Linked DNA regions of Mus musculus. The protein of the gene in region 2 interacts with the protein of the main gene of each other region in a pairwise test. Links are inferred from orthologs where the notes say so. Each region holds a gene or a part of one and is shown on either strand. Other genes may lie near its edges.

Region 1 (7,732 bases), about 15 Mb from region 2:
AATATTTCAGTAAATGAGGGGACTGGTAAGATGTTGCAGTTGGTTCAAAGTGAATGGCCTTCATAGATACATAAATAGGAAGGAATGCTGAAATGAATTTAAAACTGGATGCAGAGCCAATAATCAATTGTGTCCTCTAAGATATAATTTACACTCCTAAAGATTAGATTATTATCATTTTTTCAGCATGAAGAATTACAGCATAGCTTAAAGACAGTCAAAGGACAATATAGTTACAAAGAAGCATTTGATAAGATACTCAAATTTTTTATGTCAGTGTCAAAGTCTTTCACAACTATTCTATTTTTAAATTTATTTTATTTTATTTTTTATATATACACTATCCATTCCTTCACTGCTCCCCTCCAGGTCACCCTCTCCCACAGCCTTTCCTCCTTCCCCCTTCCTCTCCCATTCTCCTCTGAGCAGGGGCAACCCTTGGGTATCCCCCTACCCCAGCACATCAAATCTCTGCAAGGCTAGGTGCTTCCTCTCCCACTGAGGACAAACAAGGTAGCCCAGCTAGAACATATCCCACATACATGAAACAGCTTTTGGAATAGTCCCTTCTCTACTTGTTGAGGACCCACATGAAGACCAAACTGCTTATATGTGATATATGTGCGAAGAGGCCTAGGTCCAGCCTGTGTATGCTCTTTGGTTGGTAGTTCAGTCTAGACCCTGAGAGCCCCAAGGGTCCAGGTTGGTTGATTCTGTTGGTCTTCCTGTGGAGTTCTCATCCCCTTTGGGGCCCACAATCCTTCCTCCTATTCTTCTATAAAAGTCCACAAGCTCCATTCACTGTTTGGCTATTGGTGTCTGTATCTGAGTTAGCTCCTGTGTGGAGCCTCTCAGAGGACAGCATTTTTCTGTCTGAAAGCATAACAGAGTATCATTAATAGTGTCAGGGATTGGTCACAACCATTCTTAGTACATTCCACATAAAACTTTAGGAAAGGGATACATGCATGCATACATACATACATACATACATACATACGTGTTTGTACACACACACATTATACATACACATACACATACATATACATCTTCCTTTTTGTGTAGTAATCAAGATGTTTGATCCTGCCTGGCTCTCTGGCTCTGGTTAAAGGGTATATTCAGATAGTTAAAGCCATTGACTTCTTTTGTATGACTGTGAGGGCCCAATAAGAAAATGGGGTTTAAAGGCTTATATACCCCTTCATATTATATCTTCATATGGGAGAAAGTATTGAGTCAAGATGGAGGCAATTTTAGGGAAGAATAAATGATTTACTGGGGGAGGGGGTGGTGAGATATAGACTCAGAAAGACAACAGACTGAGACAAAGTTTGTTTCGGCTTTGGGTGTTTGGTTTCCTCTTCTTGGTTGATGAAATAACATGGTAGAAGCCCACTATGTTCGCTTTTGGTAGAAGCAGCCTTTGTGTAAATAAAGAATTTTCAAAGAAGAGCTCTTTCCAGATTCTGCTGATTCCCCAGTGTCTGTAATCTAAAGCATCCCATGGTCTGAGGCATCATATTTTCTGGTATCTCCCATCTCAGCTCAGAACTCAATTGTAATTTATGATAATACAACATTAAACTTACACTAGGATTTACGAAAAAGGATAGGTATTTTTGAAACGTAATAACTGCCCACTAAGGACCCTTTTCTAACAAATTCCCCAAGTCAGAGTTTATACCTATTGACAGAAAAGCTTGACTGATAAAATCAGGGCTTAAAAAATATAGAGGAAATTTGACATGACTTTTATACTATCTTCTTATGCAAATGAAAAGAAGACACACTAAATCAAAAGTAATGGTGTATGTGGCTTGCCAGAAAGTCCATTAAAGAGTTCACTCAGCAAGTTTTGAGGTGATTTTTTTCCTGCCAGGGTATGTGCTACTTACTACTGGATCTCCTTATCCTGGTGTAGAACCAGCATAACAACATCAGTGTGTACTAAGCAGGCATCAGTGTGTACTAAGCAGTTCCTATCACACTGTTTTGCAAAGGAAGCAAATAGTTCACTGTTCTTAGCCTTCTGTTTGTCCTCTCTGAAGGAAAGCATTCTAAGTGAGGGTTTGTGATGGTTGTCAGCACTGGGGCCCAACAGAAGGCCTTGCATAGAAGCAAGCAAACTTGGTAATAAGCCAGCTGTGTTCCTAGCCATCTTTTTATGTTTATTTAAGACATGGTCTTGCTAAGTTGTCCAGGTTGGGATGAAGCTCTCTCTGTAGCTTGGGCTGGGCTTGAAGTTGTGATTGCTTTGCTCCCATCTCCTAAATTGGCTGGAAATGCAAGCTTTAAAGATTTTAGTAATGTGACTTTAAAATTCTGATTCTGACCTCTTAAAAGAAAAAATATGTTCATATTATGTGTGGTGTTTGGTGTGTCTTTGAAACTTTTGTGCATTAAAGGTTAACTGATTATTTTATTGCAGCCCAGCGAAGAACCATTAAGAACTCACAGCAAGATTGAAGATGAGAAGAAATCCTGCTTAAGCCTCAGGCACGCCATTCACTATGGAAACAGACATCACCCAAAGCAACATGAGCATTGTCATCTGAAGTGGAAGCTAAGAGGTTCATCTTGGACAGCGTTGGGATATTTTTTCCTATGTACTTCTGAAGGTTTGCAAGAAAAGTTTTTAGAAATTATTCCTCCGTAGAAAGCATTTCCTTCCTGAAGGTAGCACAGAGGAGCCTCTACAGAAGCAAAAGACAGCCTTAGGGAGAGGACATGAGGGAAACTTATAGATTGCAAATTCTCCTTACAGGACAAGTTTATAACAAACGAAAAGAATTCCAGTAGACGTGAGGGACGACATGGCTGTTATCTCAAAGTTTCCCAATTTAGCATTCCGGGGACAGTTCCTTTCTGGCATTTTGCTGGTTAAGTGGGGTCTGTGATACCCTTAATTTGACCTCTATTCAAAACTGTTTAATGAGAAAGCCAGCAAATCATGAAGAAGTTAGTCAGACGTAACAATGTTTTCCTAAGTCACATTTCACAGAGGGCACTGGATGCCATTAAGAGACAATAGTAGGCAGAATAGATGTGGAAACAGGAGGCAGACAGGATTCTTCTTTTAGAAGGGAAAGATTTAGTAAGTTGGGTAGGGCTTTTGATTGACGGTCATCACAGGTCTCTGCATGTGTCACTGTGGTGTGTAACACTCATCCTGACAACTATAGAAATTTCTTTATAGGTTTCTTGAAGAGATTTGTTTTAGGTCATTGTTTTTTGCCTTATCAACCTTTTTTTGTGGTACAGTTTTGCCTTTTGGAAAAGCATGTGAGAAACAGTATGGTTTTTGATGGATGTTCAGAATTCGAATGACTTATTAGATAAGGCTGGGGCATTTTTCTTTTAAAAACTGATAAGGACGTGTACAGAGATAGATATTCAATAGTTAAGACTATATAAAATGTAACATGAAACTAGCTCCACAACTTCAGAATCACTATTCTACCTTCATAGATGTTCAATGGGATATATAGACATTAGATCTTCTTAACTTCAGGGTGTTTTTTTAAATTAAAAATATTTTACAAGTTATTAAAAATAAATTGAAAACAAGATGATATCAAAATATATTTGGCTATGTAGGAATGAAGTATTATTTTGGATAAAGCTCTATTTTATGTAATTAATTTAATTAGTCACCATGGGGTGTTTTTCTAACACTGATCACTGATATGCAATACTTTTATAAAAAGCAATTTTACCTTAAAATTTAAACAGCCAAATTAACACATCAGGAATGAGAGATTCTTAGAATTGCTTAAATCGACAATAAAGGATTTATTTAGAAGAGTTTTCTTAATTATTGAACTAGTAAGATAGTCTACACAACAAATATGGTAATGTAATTTCTTAGTTTTCCAAGTGTGGGATACAGTGAGACTATAAAAGATACTAGTGAGTTAGTGAAAATTCACACAATGACAAAAATGCAGAGCATAATTATTTCCAATGCAGCGATGTTTCCTGAAGTCTTAAATAATATATCAACATATATTAACTTCAACTTCTCATGTTTAATGATGTTTACGATTAATATGGTACAGTATTCCCTAATTTGAGATTAGCAGTTGTAATTAACTCAGAATAGATTCTTTGAAGTGGTTCAAAGGGCTTTTTGTAATAAATTATTAGCCTCTAATCAGCTAATATGAAGTGAGTAGTTTTGGGGGATGTGAGAAGTACACTAAAACCTCATAAAACATTTAATTTAAGTTAATGAAATAAATTTGTATGGTACGGAGTCTCTATATGGAAACAGAATGACTGACATTCCAGAGGAGGCTTTATTTAGACCAAGTTGAGATATCTTTGGGATAAAGGCTTTAGGCCGGTGCTATCTTAGGTGTTATAGCTGAGTAGATTTCTAGAATTGTCAAGTCCCTTTAAAACAATTTTTAAAATTAATTGATTAATTGATTTAAAATTCATTAGTAGAAGATAAAAAAAAACCATTTTGTCTTGGGTTTCCTATGCTATCCTAAGAATGTTGATTTTAAGTTTGTAAAGTTGAGCTTTGACTTAGGAGAGAGTTTTCACTTGTGAGGCTGGGCCTGGCAGACCCTGAGGCTCCTGGGTGTTCACTGACACACCATTGAGATAAGGAGTGACATGAGCCAGGGATAAAGTCTGGCAAGCCTTTGCTTCCAGTGCCCCAGAGACTTGGTAGCTCACGGGTGTGGTAGTTCCTGAGAAGACACAGTTTGAAAGCATTAATATCTTCATAGGGTAAAGATGAAGGTACCTGTATCCGGGGATGTAAAAGAGGAAACTGAGGAGGAAAATGTGGAGCAGGAAGAAAACCAGGAAGCCAAGGTGAGCAAGAAAGAACTCACTTAAGCACAGAACTCTGTCCTTTAACAGATAAGGGAAAATCAGACCTTCTCCCTCCCTCTTTCTTTTTAATTTTCACATAGGTGTCTCTGAAACCTGTTATTGAAGACCTCAGCATGGAACTGGCCAGAAAGTGCACCGAGCTCATTAGTGACGTAAGTGGCTTTAAAGACTTTTATCTTATTTGCTTCCTTTACGTGGAATGGCTGTGTTGTAGAGTCATGGGGCTGGAGAGAAAACTCCCGAGGTTACCAGTTAGAGCACTGTCATTTTCTAGATCATAGAACTAAGTCCAGACATGTTAGGTGATTTCACCAAGGTCATATAGACAGTGATTGTCTAATGGAATAATTGTCCTCATTCCTAATCCAGATTCTGTCTCTTCCGGGTTGTGTAGTCATACTATGTTTTATGGTGTTGTGTTATCAAGCTCATGTTTGAGAACCCCCAAGACTTTAAAATTAGCAGAACGATATCATTTGTCTTGGAAGGATCTCTAAGTGAATGACTTTCAATATGGAAGGCCTTTATCTAAATGAATAGTACTTAACATTCTGAAGGCCATTTGAAGTTTCTGTCAAAGTCAATACTTTTCCATTTGCTTTTAATTGCATCTAACATTTCTTTGCAATATAGTGTGTGTATGTGTGTGTATGTGTGTGTGTGTGTATGTGTGTGTGTATGTGTTAATGGAATTGTACACTGCAAACACTGGTTCACATGATAATATCATTAAAAAAATTTTGTTTTTAGGAACTAAAGCTAGTTTATATGCTATTCCAAATGAAATCCTAGAGTTATTTAATGTAAACACATCCACATACATGATAAATTTATAAACTAGAATTCTAAATTTATAAGCAAGACTATTTCTTACTTGGTATGAGAACCCACCAAATACTCATAAACAATGTAAGAGAACTACTGGCTTAAAAAACATGGAGCTCTATGAAATGAAGTGTGTTTGTATCTGAATTCAGGGAGCTGAGCACAAAACTGGCTGCAACTGTTCTTTGTAATTTGCAAGTTTGTTTCCTAGGCAGTAGCGTAATACTTTGGTCAGTTCTCCAAGGCCAACTTGCTAGAGTCAACTCGACAATAACCTTGGAAATATTATTGATGCTGGTGGATTTAGCTCTTCAAGTATAATGATTATAGTTAAGATGAGATGTACATAAAAAATGCTGCAGTTACTCTTCAAAACACTGTGGTGACTGATAAGGGATAGCTACCCTAAGTTACTCTATCGGTAACTTTTTTATCTTTTGACCAACTTTGTAGTAGATAAAAATGGGCATACTTCTTCCCAAATTCTTGGCATAACATGTTACATAATTCAACTTTGAATTATTTATTTATTTGTGTTATTGCTTAGTTATAACCAGAAGTTGCTTAGCATGTGAAATATGTTTTGTAAACTGCAATAATAAGACATTGGCTGTGATAATTATGATCTTGACACCAGTGGCAGTTAAGATGTATTGAGCACCACATGCCAGGTGTTGTTGATTGTCAGGGTGGGACTCTTATTCATCGCCCTCCTCCCCCCGCCCCACGTCCGCCATTTCACTTTACTCCACTGTTGCTTCTCAGAGTGAATACCCATGCAAAGCTTGTTACTCCCTCACACATCTACTTAGTGACAGCCATGTCACCATTTAGAGGCAGCTTGAAGGTGCTGCCTCTTCCCACTCTGGTATGTTTTCACTGAAGTGTAGTTATTGCTGGGCTGCAGCTCTAATTCGGCAGGTGATATATTGGAGTGTTTGGGGGAGGATTATTATTGGTGACTTAGGAACCTTCTTGTAGGGAGGCACAATGGCTTTTTATACTCGGTGACTGCCAGCACCACACATTCTCTCTTCTTTAGGTGAGATCAAGCACATGGGAGAGATCTCTGTTTATTGTAGATTTATGTTTCATGGTGGAATGTCTGGACTACTTAAGTATTTAGAATATGATTATTGTCCCTTAATTCATGACTGGATATGTGCTCATATTTCACTTCATCGTAGGCTTCCGTACTGATAAGACACTCGTTTAGCTGTTAGAATTTTTACATGGATCAATAAAGATTCTGAAAAAATACACTAATTTCTAAAATAAAAATTATATGAAGGGTTTACACCATCATCTTAATACCAAATATTAGGGCTGACATTACAGTTGAGGAGCGGAATGTGTGTCTAGCATGTACAAGGTTCTCAACTGCAAACCAAATAAGCTAACAACCAAATATTGAATAAATTAAATGTTTATGTTCCTAAATGTTTCAGTGAACTATAACTGAAAGTTTATTGTTCTTCTTTAGTGACATCAGTAATTTTATGGGGAGCAAATGGCCTTATATTTGAAATTTCTTTTTCTTCAAATCAACTTATACTTAAAAATTTCATCTCTGCAGTATAGTAGCATAGCCAGCTTGTTGTCTAAAATACATCAGTCATAGAGTTAAAATAATAGGTATAAAATTGATGTTCTGTCACCTTAAATAGACCTGAGTTCTGGCTGAGCCTGTATTATATGGTGTTTCTAATTGGGAAGGACTAGATTGGTGCCCCGCATTTAACCTAGGACACCAGTCTTTTTCAGCCATCATGCCAAAATCAAAAGGGAACACCTCAAATGCTTTGGTGGCTTTATCAACCATCCTGTCCTAGAGGGGCTAGCTGTTTTTTGTTAGTCTGTCTTTTTGTTTGCTTGTTTATTTGTTTTTTGAGGGTAATTTTGTTTCATATTACTGAGTTTAGATTTGTTACTGAATGAAATTGTAGGCGGGAGGGTTGCTGATTTAGCAGAGCCCTGAACCCTAAAGCTTGTGGAAACCCTCATGTGTTGGAGACCAAGCCATTCATTCATTCAGCAAGCTCCCCAGGATTGAAACAAG
Region 2 (6,781 bases):
CCACAGAACTATACTAGAGTAGCTTGACACACTTAGCTCATCTGAGACCCTGACAGAAAAGAAGCCAGAGCTTGGGGCAGGGAGCCTGACTCCCAGTAGAGCCAAGAGAGGACCCCCTCACTGTGCCTACTTCCTTTCTCAGAGGAGCCACCGCCTCCAGAGCCTCCAGCTGGGCCCTCCGAGGCGGAAGAGCAGCTGCAGGGAGAGGTCGAGCAGCTGCACAAGGAACTGGAGAGGCTGACGGGACAGCTACGGGCTCAGGTGCAGGACAATGAGAGCCTGAGCCACCTCAACCGGGAGCAGGAGGGGCGTCTGCTGGAGCTGGAGCGGGAGGCCCAGCGCTGGAGCGAGCAGGCCGAGGAGCGCAAGCAGATCCTGGAGAGCATGCAGAGTGACCGCACCACCATCAGCAGAGCACTGTCACAGAACCGAGAGCTGAAGGAGCAGCTGGCCGAGCTGCAGAACGGCTTCGTCAGGCTGGTGCGAATCCTGCAGGCCCTCCTTGCTCACAGGGAATGTAACCCTCAAGGGTGCTGTCCACCTCACATGAGGTGCTAGCTGTCAAAGCACCTCTCAATCCAGAGACCTGTGGTGTGTGGGAATGATCCAGCAGTCTTCCCTGCTCTGTGGGAGGGAGCACACATGCAATTCTGGGGACCCCTGCCACATTAGGTCCTACTGACTGCTGCCTTCTGTCCAGACCAATGAGAACATGGAGATCACCAGTGCGCTGCAGTCAGAGCAGCATGTCAAGAAAGAGCTAGCCCGGAAGCTGGGAGAGCTGCAGGAGAGACTGGGAGAGCTGAAGGAGACGGTAAGGCCTACCACGGGGGGTGCCAGTCATAACAGTCTAACTGCAGCCTGGAGCAGGCAGTCCTGGACTGCTCTTCATCTGTGCCAAGGCCAGAAGCTGCTGTTTATAGTTGTAGGTTATATAAGGCTCTGGGCTCAGGCTGGGTTCACATCCATGTGTTCAAATGCTTCCCATCTCCAAACCCATTCACTGAACTTAAAAGATGAGTTTCCTCAGAGAAGTGTTAAAGGTTAAATGAGAAATGTGCATAAAATATCAGGCACTAGTAGTTAGTGCAGAACAGGGTGGGTTGCTTTCCACTCTTGGCCTAAAGTGATGAGAAAGGTGGGTGTGAGGCTGGTTACAAAGGCACTGCCCTCATTCCTGGCCGTCCTGCAGGTGGAGCTCAAGAGCCAAGAAGCACAGGGTCTACAGGAGCAGCGAGACCAGTGCCTGTCCCACCTGCAGCAGTACGCTGCTGCTTACCAACAGCACTTGGCGGCCTATGAGCAGCTGACCTCTGAGAAGGAGGCAATACACAAGCAGCTTCTGCTGCAGACTCAGCTCATGGACCAGCTGCAGCATGAGGAGGTACAGGGCAAGATGGCAGCCGAGCTGGCCCGCCAGGAGCTGCAGGAGGCCCAGGTGAGGCAGCTGTTAAGGCTGGGCCCAGGGGGAGGACCTGGCCTCCTCTGTGCCTTCTCACTCTTTCCTGGCCCCATAGGAGCGCCTAAAAGCTACCAGCCAGGAGAACCAACAGCTCCAAGCCCAGCTGAGCCTCTTGGTCCTCCCTGGGGAAGGTAAGACCACCCAGGAGGAGAGGACTAGAGTTGATGTATTTGGAGAAGCTTTGATTGGGCTGACCCCAGGGTATTCAGTAGGGATACAGAGGTGGGGCTCTGAGCTCTCTTCCCCTAGCCCACTCAGTCTACCTGATGGGATTATTAGAGGAGACAACCTACTGTCTGCCCCCAGGAGATGTGGACCAGGAGGAAGAAGATGAGGAGGTTCCTCAGTCGAGTCTGGCCATCCCAGAAGACCTAGACAGTAGAGAGGCCATGGTGAGCTGGGCTCTGTCTTGCCCCTTCTCTTTTCTACCTCTGTGGTCCTCGGTTTCCTACCCTCTGACTTCTTTTGATTGCCACTTTGTGCCTGGAAGCCAGTGGTCAGTCTCCCTCTCTGCCCTGCCCCCTTTGTCCTGAGCATTTCCCTGAAAGGCACACCTCCCTCTTGTGTGCAGGTGGCATTCTTTAATGCCGCTATAGCCAGAGCAGAGGAAGAACAGGCCCGACTACGTGTGCAGCTGAAAGAGCAGAAGGCACGTTGCCGGAGTTTGTCTCACTTGGCAGCCCCAGTCCAAAGCAAGCTTGAAAAGGAGGCAGTGGTCCCCAGGAATGTGGATGACTCTGCATCTGAGGAGAGCAATCAGGCCCTACATGTAGCCATGGAGAAGCTGCAGGTGAGTTTGTCTGTGGGGGCTGGGAGTGTGGGGGCCAGCCAGGGCTCCTGAGTCCCTGAGACCTCTGTCTTGGCTCCAGAGCCGCTTCCTGGAGGTCATGCAGGAGAAAGTGGAGCTCAAGGAGAGGGTAGAGGAGCTTGAACATTGCTGCATTCAGCTTTCTGGAGAGACAGACACCATTGGTGAGGTGGAGCCCAGCCCAAGGCAGTGGGGGCTGTGCAGGGGGGTAGACTGGGGGAGCCACAGTGTCTGAGCCTTGTCCACCTGCCTGCCGTCTCCACAGGAGAGTACATTGCCCTTTACCAAAATCAGAGGGCGGTGCTGAAGGCTCGGCATTTGGAGAAGGAAGAATACATCAGCCGGCTGGCTCAGGACAAGGAGGAGATGAAGGTAGGCCTACACTTCTGTAGTCCAGGCCCTGCCTAATCTGGGCTGGGCCCTTCAAGTTGAGCTCCTTTTTCTCCAGGTGAAGCTGCTGGAGCTCCAGGAGCTGGTGTTGAGGCTTGTGAACGAGCGCAATGAATGGCAGGGCAAGTTCCTGGCCGTCTCTCAGAACCCTGGTGACGTGCTCACCCCAGTGCCCACAGGCTCCCAGGAATTTGGTGCTGCTGACCAGCAGGATGGTGAGTAGAGCTGTTGTCTCTTGGGAAGGCACAAAGGGGAGGAGTCCCATGGCGTGCAGAGCCATGACCCCCTCCCCCTTTCTCTAAAGACCTCAGGGAGGTGAGCCTGGCTGACGATATAGAGCCTGCACAAGGAGAGGCAGGGGTACCTGCTCCCCATGAGAACCCTACTGCACAGCAGATCATGCAGCTGCTGCGTGAGATCCAGAACCCCCGGGAGCGGCCAGGCCTGGGTAGCAACCCTTGCATCCCCTTTTTCTACCGTGCCGATGAGAACGACGAGGTGAAGATCATGGTTGTATAAAAGACTGGCGGCCAAAGCCTCAGCAAGGGCAGCCAGAGGTTCTGCCCCAACCCACACCCTTCCTCAGCCACCCTTATCTTTATAATAATAATAAGGTCAGACTCCATCCCCTCCAGGGGCTGGGGAAGTAGCTCAGTTGGTAGAGTGCTTGCCTGCTGTGCACACAGCCTTGGGTCCCCAGTACCTCTGAAAAGGCTGATACCTGTAATTTGAGTGCTTGGGAAGTGGAGGTGGAAGAATCAGCCATCCTCATCTACCTAGTGAGTTTGAGGCCACACTGGGCTACATGCGACCCTGTCTGAAAAAACCAAAAGATCAGGCTCCTATCTTAATGGGGGACACAGACTGGTACAGATCTGCCTCTTAGCCAGGGCAGTTTTACTTTGTAAATTCCTGTTACAGAAAGAACGCCAGAGACTCAGTGATGGAGCAGACTGTGCTGGGTGGCCTGGGGGCTTTCTCACCAAGGAGGGCCTCAGGCCTTACTCAGGACTCTGGGGCAGAACAGAGTGGCAGCATTCTCGTGCCCAGGTGCAGTGCAGGCTGGTAAACTGGCCTAGCATTCAGCAGGGCTTCTAAGTTTTCACCGGCTCAGTCCTCCCTATCCTCCTTTTCCTCCCCGCCCCCATTTTATCTTCATTTTCTTTACGGAGTGTCTCCTGTAGCCCGAGCTGAGCCCCTGCCTCACCGCTGTGCCTGGTGGTTGGCAGTGCTAAGCAGGCACTCTACCAAGTGATTTACCCCCAGCACTCCCTGCCTTTTTCCTTTGTGTGGTGATGCTGGGGATGGAACCCAGGGCACAGCAGGTCCCCAGATCAACTCCCATCTTCTCAGAGGCACTTTAGGGCAGTGGGGCTGGGCAGCACTTCATGGGTCCTCAGGCAGTTGGGGCTAACTGCCTCAGGAAGGCATCCCACTTTGGAGGGCTTCCATCTTTTTGAGGCACTTTGGGACAGGGAAAGTGGGTACCATTCTCTCAGGCCTTATGACAATTGGGGTAACTACGCCAAGCAGGACAGAGGCTGCTGGGGCAGGGTGGCCTTCCCCTCCCCCGGTGTACATATTGTACCTGTGTACTATTTTGTATATACCGGGGTAGGGACACCCCTGTATCATAGTGGAGGTTGGAGCTGGCAAATGGGAAGAGCTTCTAATAATCACTTTGGGCTGGGAACCTTATTTATTGGTAGTGTTAGGTCAGAGGGCAGGAGGCGGAGACAAGGTTGTGGCACCTGCTGATGCAGCTCCTCTTTATTTTGCTTTTTACTTGGGAAATAAATGGATTTAGCCATACTGCTGGGCCTAGGGTGTTCGTCATTGGTTCTGGGGTTAGCCTCAGGCTGGCACTGAGCAGGGAATGTGTCCTGCCTGGAGAGAGCAGGCTTCTGGCCTGTATGGAGCCCAAGGTCTGAAGTGCCTGGCAGGGCTGATTGACACCTATCACCTATACACTGCCTATTGAAGCCTAGGGACCCCAGGGGGAGTACCATGGGGCTACAGGGACAGAGCTTCCTTACTGAGTAAGAGAGTCAAGCCTGACATATAGTATACATAGGTGGGACTCGGGGTGCAGCAACTAAGGGCGCTGACTTCCAGGCCAGGCCTCTTACATTCCGACCCTTCCCCTTAGTCTGTCCACACTAGAGACCTGTTTTGTTCTTTAGGCTGTTCACAGCATCCTGGCTGAGCTCATGATACTGCCCCCTAGTGGTGTAAGCAGGATTCGTAGGATGAGGACCTGCTAAACTCACAAGCACCCTAGCAAGGGCCTTTCCTCACCCTCCATTCAGTGCCCAGTTTACACCGTCCTCTCAGCCCCAGAGAATACAAACCAGCAGAGGTACACGCAATTCCCCATGATCCAGAAATGGGTTTTATTCTCAGCCAAGAGACAGCAAGACTGGTGGCTACCAGAGAACTGCACAGCTGCTGCTGCTGCAGCATCCCCTTGCTGCAGGGTTGGGATGGCCAAGGGGATGGCTGTTCACAGGCCAGGAGGACAGGGGGGCTCACTGGAGGTGGTACACTGGAGGGGGGGTTGTCAGGATGACAGCGTTCCCTTGTTGGACCACAAGACTCCACAAGGACAGCATGGTGGTTGATTCTGACACTACAGGCGAGGCTGTGTCAGCCATATATATGTATATATATGTATATATAGGTATATTTATAGATATTTATAGAATGTCGCAGGAGCAATACCACAGAGGGGCACAAGTTTTCACCAACATCACATCTGGATGTGTCAGCTCACCACTACAACAGACTAAGTCACAGATGATGAATAGGACGCTTTGGGGCCGGGGGAGCCACTGTCAAGTCACAGAACAGCTGTCCAGGCAGGCTTGGTAAGGGAGGTCTCCGAGGAGTAGGAGGGATCTGGTTAGAGGTCGAAGGGGGGCCTGGGGCTCTCAGGACGGGACGGACTTGCCTGACCCGATCGGCTGGCAGTTGGAGAGAAAGCCGAGAGAGAACGGAAGAGAGAAAAGGAAGGAGAGCTGGTAAGGCAAGAGCAGCCACCTCCAGCAGAGGCAGGGGCTGAGGCAGGTGTGGATGTGGGCAGGGTTCCCGGAAGAGATGCACAGTTGATGAATGAAAGGGAAGATGGGGTGCTGGGCCGTAACTAGCAGGTAGTCTGAGTAGAGGCTGGTGGCCCTCTCTTGCCACACACACGGCCTCTCACACACCACCCAGGCAATGCACCACAGGGCCTCCCTCATTTTTGCTCACTGTCTCTCATCTCACTGGCTCAGGGCCACCCCAAGCCTCAGGGAGTCCCATGTAACAGCCATGAGGCCAGAAGTGCTTGAACCAGGAGATTGAAGCTAAAGGGGATGGCTGGAGGGAGCGCTGGAGGCCCCTCAGGTGGTCAGAAAGTCAGGAGTCCTCTGAGGGGACCCTGGGGAGGCTGGGAGGCAGGCAGCCGATGCCTGCGGCCACAGACTTATAAGTCTAAGAGGGGAGCCTCCGTTGGTCGGGGGGCTGCAGGTCTCGTAGGTGAGGCTGGGCCCTTCCTGCTGGGGAAAAGCAGAAGGGTGAGCGTCAATGGCTGGGGAAGAGTTGGGACAGGGTAACCGAGATCTGTGGCCAGCCAGGCAGAACTCAAGTTGACTTTCCCAGTCAGTAGACAATGCATTGCCTTCGGCTAAAAGGCACAGGTCACTCTGAAAACAGGTCAAATGTTGGAGCTGATGGGCTGGCTCTATGTCGGGGGCTGACGAGGTGGCTGTTAGCTACAGGTGTGCAATGTCAAGGATGAATGAGATCCTCACCTTGCCTGCGAGCCCTCAGGCGCTGGCAGAAAGGCAAAGGCTCTTAAGTTGTCTAAAGTCACCAGTCAGAGCCTGGCTTTGCCAGCGCGATTCTCATGCTTGCCCTGTGGTGAATTTAGTCGCCATGCTCCTAGGCTGGAAGGAGAAAGCTCTTATCTTGGCAGCATAGTTCAGAGTAGGTATGAAGAGGGGGTCCTAACGCTTCTGGCCCCTTCAGAGGCTGAAGACACCCTCTCCTAGTTCTTAGTCCCTACACTGTCAACAGTGGTCTGGTGTCTCCAGGGAGCACCCACATCTACCGTCTTGGACATGAAACCTGTTCCAAGAGCC

What was found.
Region 1: the proteins of Golga2 (region 2) and Nebl interact in binary tests that used the Homo sapiens proteins (3 or more experiments, as listed by UniProt). The two-hybrid records come from large-scale screens. The link is inferred for Mus musculus from reciprocal best matches to the Homo sapiens genes GOLGA2 and NEBL.

What each region holds. Positions count from the first base shown.
Region 1 is NC_000068.7:17,457,553-17,465,284, reverse strand, and holds the start of Nebl (nebulette), read left to right. Parts: upstream 1-2,428; 5' UTR 2,429-2,618; intron 2,619-4,739; 5' UTR 4,740-4,746; coding exon 4,747-4,827; intron 4,828-4,928; coding exon 4,929-5,000; intron 5,001-7,732. UniProt on the Homo sapiens protein: Binds to actin and plays an important role in the assembly of the Z-disk. May functionally link sarcomeric actin to the desmin intermediate filaments in the heart muscle sarcomeres.
Region 2 is NC_000068.7:32,303,442-32,310,222, forward strand, and holds the end of Golga2 (golgin subfamily A member 2), read left to right. Parts: intron 1-142; coding exon 143-480; intron 481-700; coding exon 701-814; intron 815-1,192; coding exon 1,193-1,438; intron 1,439-1,517; coding exon 1,518-1,593; intron 1,594-1,768; coding exon 1,769-1,854; intron 1,855-2,033; coding exon 2,034-2,252; intron 2,253-2,331; coding exon 2,332-2,434; intron 2,435-2,535; coding exon 2,536-2,642; intron 2,643-2,718; coding exon 2,719-2,875; intron 2,876-2,964; coding exon 2,965-3,179; 3' UTR 3,180-4,472; downstream 4,473-6,781. Other genes in the region: Dnm1 (dynamin-1), read right to left, coding at 6,124-6,196. UniProt on the Homo sapiens protein: Peripheral membrane component of the cis-Golgi stack that acts as a membrane skeleton that maintains the structure of the Golgi apparatus, and as a vesicle thether that facilitates vesicle fusion to the Golgi membrane.